Linked DNA regions of Neodiprion lecontei. The protein of the gene in region 2 interacts with the protein of the main gene of each other region in a pairwise test. Links are inferred from orthologs where the notes say so. Each region holds a gene or a part of one and is shown on either strand. Other genes may lie near its edges.

Evidence for each region.
Region 1: the proteins of protein neuralized (region 2) and enhancer of split malpha protein-like interact in a two-hybrid assay, tested with the Drosophila melanogaster proteins (2 studies listed by BioGRID). The link is inferred for Neodiprion lecontei from reciprocal best matches to the Drosophila melanogaster genes neur and Tom.

What each region holds. Positions count from the first base shown.
Region 1 is NC_060260.1:38,440,619-38,444,718, reverse strand, and holds enhancer of split malpha protein-like, read right to left. Parts: upstream 2,092-4,100; 5' UTR 1,914-2,091; coding exon 1,404-1,913; 3' UTR 515-1,403; downstream 1-514.
Region 2 is NC_060265.1:21,860,426-21,865,149, reverse strand, and holds the start of protein neuralized, read left to right. Parts: upstream 1-1,681; 5' UTR 1,682-2,376; coding exon 2,377-2,701; intron 2,702-4,724. UniProt on the Drosophila melanogaster protein: Involved in neurogenesis. Interacts with other neurogenic proteins in the specification of the neuroblast versus epidermoblast cell fate.

The sequences.
Region 1 (4,100 bases), on a different chromosome or scaffold from region 2:
TCGGACCTAAAAACCTTGAGCAAATATACGAGCGAGGGGCTGAAAGGATCTCGAGGTTTTCTTCTATTCTTTATCGTTTCTACTCTTCGACCGGTTCCACATTGTGAAAGAATCGTCGCAACGGCCGAAGATTCTTTGTAAAATATGGTCAGCCTAGGCTAGTCACTTAACTATTTTAAAAACCTCGGGGGGAATAAATTTTTCTTCAAAATTGCAGGTGAACTGCACTGTTGGAATTTTTTTTATAAATAGTGATATACGAATGATTGATTGAGTGATTTTTAGATCACTAACTAGTCAATTGAATTCAATTATCGCTTTTATTATAAATATACTTTTGAAATTATAATCTATAATTAATTTCTAATGGCAATTTATTTCAAAGGAAATTGGGTATATGTTATAAAAAAGATACTTGGATGGTAAATAAATAAGTAGAAAAATAATATTTTTTGAGAAAATAATAGTATAATTTATTTTTTTTTTCCACTTGTGGTTGTAATACGATAAAATTGGAAGACGATATGATTTGATATAATATAATCTTAATATTTAGATTTAATTATAAAATGTGGCGACTGAATGGTCGATCAATCGAATTATTCCTTCTACAGGATTTTAAAGCCGATATCACAATATGCGTGCGTGCGTGCGTGCGTGCGTGCGTGCGTGCGTGCGTGCGTGCGTGTGTGTGTGTGTGTGTGTGTGTGTGTGTGTGTGTGTGTGTGTGTGTGTGTGTGTGTGTGTGTGTGTGTGTGTGTGTGTGCGCGCATGTTACAATATTACAACAATAGTGAAACTTAAAGCTAAATAATTATAACTCTAAAAGTCAAGTGTTTAGGTACGAATATCACAGGTGCGAATGAAATTGTCGTCATGCAGAAACAAGATTATACAAAAAATAATCGCACTAATCGCATGAAAGGAATACTTTAACCGTATACGTGTGTTGTACCATGAAAAATGAAGAAAAAAAAAAAAATATTCAAATTTTGAAGGAATTTGTATATCACAAATCTCGACAGTTGTTTTGCAAAACATGCTGTACGAGATCGTGCCCAATAATCGAATCCCGCAAAACGGTTCTCCTCTCTTTCAATTGAGCAAATATCAGATAGACATACAAGTAACAAGTAACTCGAATACGAACAGTAATCGTAACAATAATCGTTTAAACTACTAATCACAGTTTGAAATAATTATCTTACGTCTAAATAAAGTCTTTCTCTTTCTCTCTCTCTCTCTCTCTCTCTCTCTCGTTTTTACTCTTCTCTCTTCTTTCTTCCCGCATCCCGGTTGCACCTCGTTTTTAATCAATGTCGAGGTCGGGATGAGTCTCCTTTTTTAGCTTTCCGCGAAACTGGAACTTGAACCGGAGCTTAAACCCATGGAACCCATCGCACTTAGGCGACCTGCATCTCGGGCTGCTGGTTCTGGGAGAAGGCTCGTTCCTTGTAGCAGAGGTCACTGTCGGCGAGGGAGATCGTCGTCCAGTAGAAGTCGCCGGCGTGGGTGTGGGCGAAGTGAACGGGAACGTAACACTGTCCGGGTACCACGGGAACGACGGTCATCTGACCATCGAGGCAAACGGTGATGGCTGCTCCCTCCTCGGCTTCTTCCAGGCCGGCTAGAAGCCGCTGTTCCAGTGCCTCGTTGGCATTGTTCTGGTTGTCTACCTCCTCGGTGAAGACCTCCACCTGAGGCTGAGCCCTCTGCTGTCCCTTGAGCGATTTGGCGCTCTTCTTACCGCCTCCGGACTTCTTGAGCAGTCTCAAAAGCGGCTTCAGGATCTTCTTTACTCGTCGAGCACTTGAGGTCTGCTTATTGCTGGTCGACAACTTGATGTTGTACAGATTGTCGTTCAGCTCGTTATCGCACTCGAACACGTGGCTGTTGATCGTTGTTGCCGCCATTTTCTTTGTCGTCGTTGTTGTTGTTGGATATATATATGTATACTCTCGCACACCGTGTCTCTATATACCGTCACACTTCAGAGCGTTTACTACTGTGTACGTAAAGTTGCGATGTCGTTTTAATTCGCAGCGCGTTTTTTTTTTTTTTTTTTGTTATACCGAATTTTCGTAGCTAGTCTCGTCTCGTCTGAGGCTTGTCAGCGAATGTGCTCTGGTCCAGCCACCCCGCCGGTTATATAGAGCCCTGTGACGTCACGGGGTAGCTGGTGGGGGAGGCAGGTGCGCCTTGGCTGTGGGAACTCTCCGTGTTCCGAGCTTCCCAGGGTCCACGTCGACCATCTGCCGTCGTCCTCGGCTCCCCCCGCGTTCTTCGCTCAAGTCCACCCTGGCAGAGACTCGCCACCCCGTTCGCCCCACCCCCGACTAAATCAGGAGAAAATTCACCCGGGAGCTGATGGCTTACACGAAGATGGTGGAGGAAGATCCCTTGCTGCGAGTCTCGACACGCTTTCCCCCTACGGCCGAAGAAAGAGACCTGTCGAAACAGGTCGAGGGCTGGACTTTCTTTGGGGTGTTTTCTCGATACGATTCGAGGGGACGTTCCTTCGACCGTTGGAAATTACATTGCGAATTGACTTTACGCGTGTTCTTTGAAACCAAGAAGAATCGTTCGATCTTAGTGGAAATCACTGACAATCGCTTGGAATCAAACGGCGCAAGTCGTTCAGCGATCGATAAATGGTCTTAATCGATGCTGAGTAGTTTACATGGACTTCTACCTTGTCAAGTGCTTGCGTTCACTCTTCCAGTGTAACGAGTGATTTCCAACGGTTCGTCACGAGTCCCTGTGATTCTGTCTAATCCGTGAAGATCAATGGAAATGACTTGGTACAATCACTCGAATGTCAACGTTACCGATGAATCCAAGTGATCGACTTGATCCCCAAGTGAATTCCCGCTCGGTTCAGTTCCGCGTTGTTTTCTTCAAGCCCCATGCTTGACCGCCTTTCATATTCCGTGAAGTTGCCAGTACTCGGATCACTTTGGCAGACCCGAGCAGACTTGTCGCTCTCTGCACCATCAGAGAAGAGCTCTTCGAGAATAATTAATCTCGGTCATGCGCTCGGGTGGTTTGCGCCTTAGGTCCAACCTCTCGTAATTAGCCTCCGGAGATATTTTAGTTCTTTTCACTCCCTGTTCCAGTAAGGTTCAGGCAGGTCAGGGACCACTTCGCTGTGCAAGAAGAGTAGAAGGAGGAGGAGGAGGATGAGGAGGAGAAGGAGAAGCCCTCTTCCTTCGCTTTGGCCGAGGGTCAAACCGACCTTTCTCCATCTACCGATGCCCACAATTTTTATCTTCGAAACTTTCCATGTTTAACATAAGGCGAATGCACCATTTATGGCCACTGTACCATTCATACGCTTTTATAAAAGTTCCGCTCTCCTCAATTCCAACTCTGATCTCTTCAATTACTCAATTCATGCCTCCGATACGACTTTGAGCAAGTTTTGGACGGAAATTTTAATATTTGGCAGACTTTATTGTTCGAAAATTACTATTTTTGCGAATTGCTCGGTACATTATGCACTGCCGCTTAGTTTTCGATACTCTTTTCTTTGCCGCGACGCGACGCCGAGGATCGTAAAAAAGGTCGACAGTTTTTTTTCACTCAGCGGTAATTATCTTTTTATTGAAATTATCCCACGTCACGGCCGCGTCCCCAACCCGACCGACTCCTGCGGGGAAAAAAAAAACAGTTTTTAAGAACCTGTCCAAGCCTCCGAGGTTTGCCCGAGGTTAGTTTTAGGTTGGGTTTTACGAACGCTTGCGATCTCAAGGATCGATTATTTCTTCACCACTGAGATTCAGGCGGTTGTCATTTTACCGCCGATCGATACGGTTTTCAACGATTTATTTATTTTTATACTTGATATTAGAACGTGACAAACGTTTTAAATTACCAGACACTCGGTCCTTGAAACGTAACGTCGTTGAAAAATTAAAAAGCAGGTGTAACGAGGGATATTTTTTCACGTCCGGATGTTCTTCGATTGTCATACATTGGTTGGGAATTATTTATTAACATGTGTTCGAAGATCGTTAAAACCGATAGTGAGAAACGATAATAATATTCTCTTCGTCGTCGTATTTAGTATAACACATCGATCGATGAGATCATATATTCTT
Region 2 (4,724 bases):
AAAAGTATGCATAACCCGCATGCGAGATGAATTCTAGTCATTAAAGCCGATACGATACGCGTCGTATTTGGAAGTTTCACGTGCTCTCGTCTTATCGCTTCATCGACAATATCAAAAGCGCCCCCATAAAACACATAGGGGTACCTCACCTCGCTTTCAATTTTGTGTAACTTTCTTCAATTCGTTCACTTGAACGGCTCCGAACTACCTGATGGAGGAGGACACTGTCGTCCTTTTCAGGACAGAGATCTTGTCCCAGGGACACCCTTATATTCCTCAAAATTATACACACCTTAATTCTTCACAAAATCAAGTCTGTGAATCGAGTAGTATCTAGTCTGCTTTTCCTGCAGAGCCAGACGCCCGAGCGGATGAAATCGTCACGATCGAATCAGTCCGGTGCTGGAATCGCCGTAGCGTTACGCGATAGCTACAGTATCTCTTTCGCACGTTTGCGACAAGGCCGAGAGACCGGATCAAGTTTCCATGAGACTCGCAGGACCAGCCTCGTCCCATGACAAACCCAAACTCTGGACGCAGAAGTCGAAATAGAGCAGAGTGCGCCTTGCCAAATTAATCGAACGATTCTTGCCAAGGAATAGATTTTTCCGTTTGAAAGCTTACTCGTGATTCAAAAGTTCTTTCTTTCAAACGGGAATCAATTTTTTCATCTTCTCAGATTACGTTTTTGTACCAGTGCTATCACGTTATCTACTCGAATCCCCAATTAAATTCAAAATGCAATAAAACGACCGGTTTATTCGACCGAGAATGAATGGTGGATCGGAAAGTTTGAGTCGAAAAGGTGATACCGTAGATAGGCACTACAAATAATTCCTGTTCCGATTATCCTCGGCGCAGAATTACACTGCGGGCAGAAATAGCTTATCCTGAGCAGTGCGGAGTTGAATTCACCCGTTGACGATTGCCAGAATCAGAGATTCTTAAAACCGGTTAAAGAATTGCAATTCATGCAGATTTCGTAGCGCTGATTCTCGGAGTCGTCGCTTCCTCCTGACAACACCGAAGTTGGTACATTAACGACAACCGCAATCAATGAGCCTAAAAATCTCGATCCGTGTACACTTCGCAGTTATCGTACCTCGGGACGTTAACCCCCGACAAACCCGTAAAGGGACGCGAAGACGCTCGACTCGAGGTTCTTCGCAAAGACGTGAATGGTATCGATCTTCGTCGAGACGAAGCACGACGCGTGGCACGCGACCTGCGGCGGTCCAAAGGCTTTCTTCTTATCGTCATCCCGGGGCGCTGCGGGGCCGGAGCTTGCGTCTCGATACCTACCCATACTCGGGACAGCTTATTCGGGCGAGTGTGGGTAGGAAGAAGAAGAAGACAGGCAGGCAGGCAGGCGGGCAACCGAACCAGGGAGTCTGGGTGGCACCTAGCCGCTACGCCACCTCCGAGGGGCAGCCGGGTGCGCCCAGGTAAGGGCAGCTGTTCACCAGGTGCGGTTCACCCCTGAACACCCCTGCGACAGGGTGGGGGAAGAGCCGTTTTCCGATTGGTCGGCGGCTCGCGCGCGCCTCGGCGATACCCCGGGAGCAGCGTCGAGGATCCTTCAGTTCGCTGCGAGCGCTCGAACAGAAAGCGAGTGTTCCGAGCTCCTCGTGCACGGTATCTCGCTGGGTGCGCGCCGCGGCCTCGTCCGCATAGTTTTTTTTTTTTTTTTCTTCTTCTCAACTCCTTCCTCGTCTTCGCCGTTGAGAACGTCGCGTAGGAAATTAATTCGGTAGTACTTGTTACAGCTGAGTTTGCATGAAACGCGCGTTTCCGTCGTTGAACTAGTTAAATTCTCGTAACGTTTTCGGTAAAGGAGACTCTGTCTCGATTTCGGGGGGAAAAAAAAATAAATTACCGCGATAGGACGGAAGAGAAGAAGAAGGAATTACCCGAGAGAAAAGAAACAACTCGTCTCTTTAATCTAGTCAAGATAATACCAACTACGTTACATACGCGTAATAAAACGGATATATATAACTATATACACATATATACTTGGAATTATATATTCGTCGGTCGAACTCGGTAATACCTGTAAACACGTACACAGTGGTAAAATATAAGGAAAAAGTGTCGAAAAATCTTACCGCGTGTTACGAGAGCGGTCACGCGAACGATACAAGAACGAAACTGGTGCCAACGAGATATATCGTAACTATAAAGTGCCGGGAGAGTTTATTCGTATGTATCCTCTTGTTTGGTGAAGCTACATACACACATATGTATACATGGTCTAACCAATATATGTATGTATACATGTATTGAATCGTATATTGATATATATATATATACATATATCGCACGCTGTTTCGACGTCGTCTCTTCGAGTTCTTCAAGTTAAAGACGGCTCCATTAATGGGGGTGTCCGGTGATTGCGCGGTGCGCTCCGCGAGCAGTAGGAGTCATCCCTGTCACTGCTGCAGTCACGCGGCCAGCGCGAACGCCAGTGCTTCGTCCCAACACCACCACAATCATCACCAACACCACCACCACGGACACAACAACAACAATAATAACAACAACAATAACAATAACAACAACAACAACAACAACAACAACCACAACAGCAAAACAACCGACAACCATCATCATCAGAACGGTGCCGATACCGTTGGCGTGTTGGCGCCCTTACGCAGCAAGATGAAAGTCCTCAAGAAGCTTAAACGAAAGATGGGTCTAGGTGAGCCGTGATATCATGATATATTTGAATTTAATCTACTCGAACGTCAGACGTATTGTCTATTATTAAGGTGTATAGTGATATAAGCGTTGCTCTGCAAATGATTCGGTTGTAGACGAAGAATCGTGAAAGGTTCGCCGGTTGGTCAGAGTTCAATTGATTACGAGGCTCATTTGGGAAGGATATTACTTTCGGAACTGTTACGCGTGCTCGGGTATTATGCCCTGAATGAAAGAATAGCAGAATAACATTTTTTTACACCGACAACCGAGTCATTTTGAACAAGTGGTATCGTTCATTTAGTCGAGTTTGCCGACGACCATTGTTAGACGGTAGTCAATTATCTGAAGTGGACATCGTTAGTCCGAACGCTCCCTAAATGTGATTGAATTTCTTTCGCGTTTCTTAAAAATTTCGTTTTCCGCCGATTATAAGTTGGCCAGGACTTTACGGTGGTCTGGAAATAATTATCATCGTGATATCCGATAGTTTGACAGAGAGGCTGTGGATTGATATCAGAATTGGCATGTATTGTCAACTCCCTGCATATCGTACGTAAGAATCATCGAGGTATTATAGCGTTTATAAGCCGATGAAAAAGGCCGAGGCTTGTTGTCCGGGTGGAATAAATTCTACCGGCAGTTGCTCGTTAACGCGATGCATAAGGTACTGAAACAGCAACTGCACTCTGCACCTGCCGTATTCGCATAATAAGAATATTGCAACGTCGCGCAAAGATCTCGGTGCATTCTTCGGCACGTGTGGACCTCAAGTTGCATTCTACGTACGACGATTATACCTTACTTGATTGATCGTTTTTGACGTTGAAAATTTTCACCAACGAGTAAAAGTATCTGGGCATCGCAATGGGATTTTTTCTGGGATTCATCACAATACCGCCTTATACGTTCGCTCGAAAAAACGAGAAGCGCGAAGTGCCGATAAGAGGAGAAAGATAAGGAGGAATTGGATTGTTCCATTTTTGCGGGACTCTCTTTGATACAACGGGCAACCGATGCGAAATAGGTCGCACTGATCAACCAACACACTATGCGACTTGTACCAGCTTAGCGCACGTATGTGAGATGGTTTGAGCCAGATGCAGAGAATGAGAATGAAAATGAAACCGCGTCGGTTGGAGCGGAGTCGAGATGCCTTTTTCCGGCGAGATATGGCCGTTGAATAGAAATAGGTCGATTCGGTCCCGCGGATTGTTCGTTGCGAAGGTTGTATAATACATCCACCCGCGAACAAAGCCCACCGTCAACGTTGCTCAGGGCTGACGTTTAAAGTCTGTCTTAACTTCAAATTCGCCGTTTTCGAGCGCGACAATTAGGATCTGGTGAAACACTGAAACGTCGAGTTGCACGAGTCCGGAGTGCGAAAAGATGAAAATTGGATTAATTGAGCCGCCCCTTCGTGATCTAACATGCCGCCTAGATCGTGATCTGGCTCGTCTCAGCCGTAGTTTTTTGCTGCCTTTTCTTGCTCCCCGGTTGGCTCGGAACTAGGCAGCTACACGGAGTTCGTTTTTGCTTTACTGTGCGTTTCGAGCCGAGGAACAAAGTTCTCAAACTCAATTACGTGCACCGGCTTAGACGGAGTTACTGGATCGGTGCTATTCTTCCAGAGAAGACGTATCGAATCCGCGCTCGGGACGCGTTTGCAGATATTCGTTGAGCTGCTCGAATTAATGGGTTTTCTGCGTACCTTCAGCGAAGCACATGTGTGCTTTAATGACTCCGAATCAGTGAGGATAATCATGTACCACGGTGGGTCGATATTGCTGCGAGGATAGGCTGCTCGGAGATGCTCCAGTGATATTCAACGGACGGTTTTCAGGACTTTACGAGTTCCATTGAGAGGAAATTGTCGCGATTCCAAAACGCCTCCCGGCGAAAGCTTAACGTCGGTTCCGAGCAAGGATATCGGGGCGAATAAGTTATCTCTAATAACAGCGTTTCGGATTTGTATGCTCCTGTTTTCCGGGGCCATACATCTCGCCCGGAGGCGAAGAGTCACG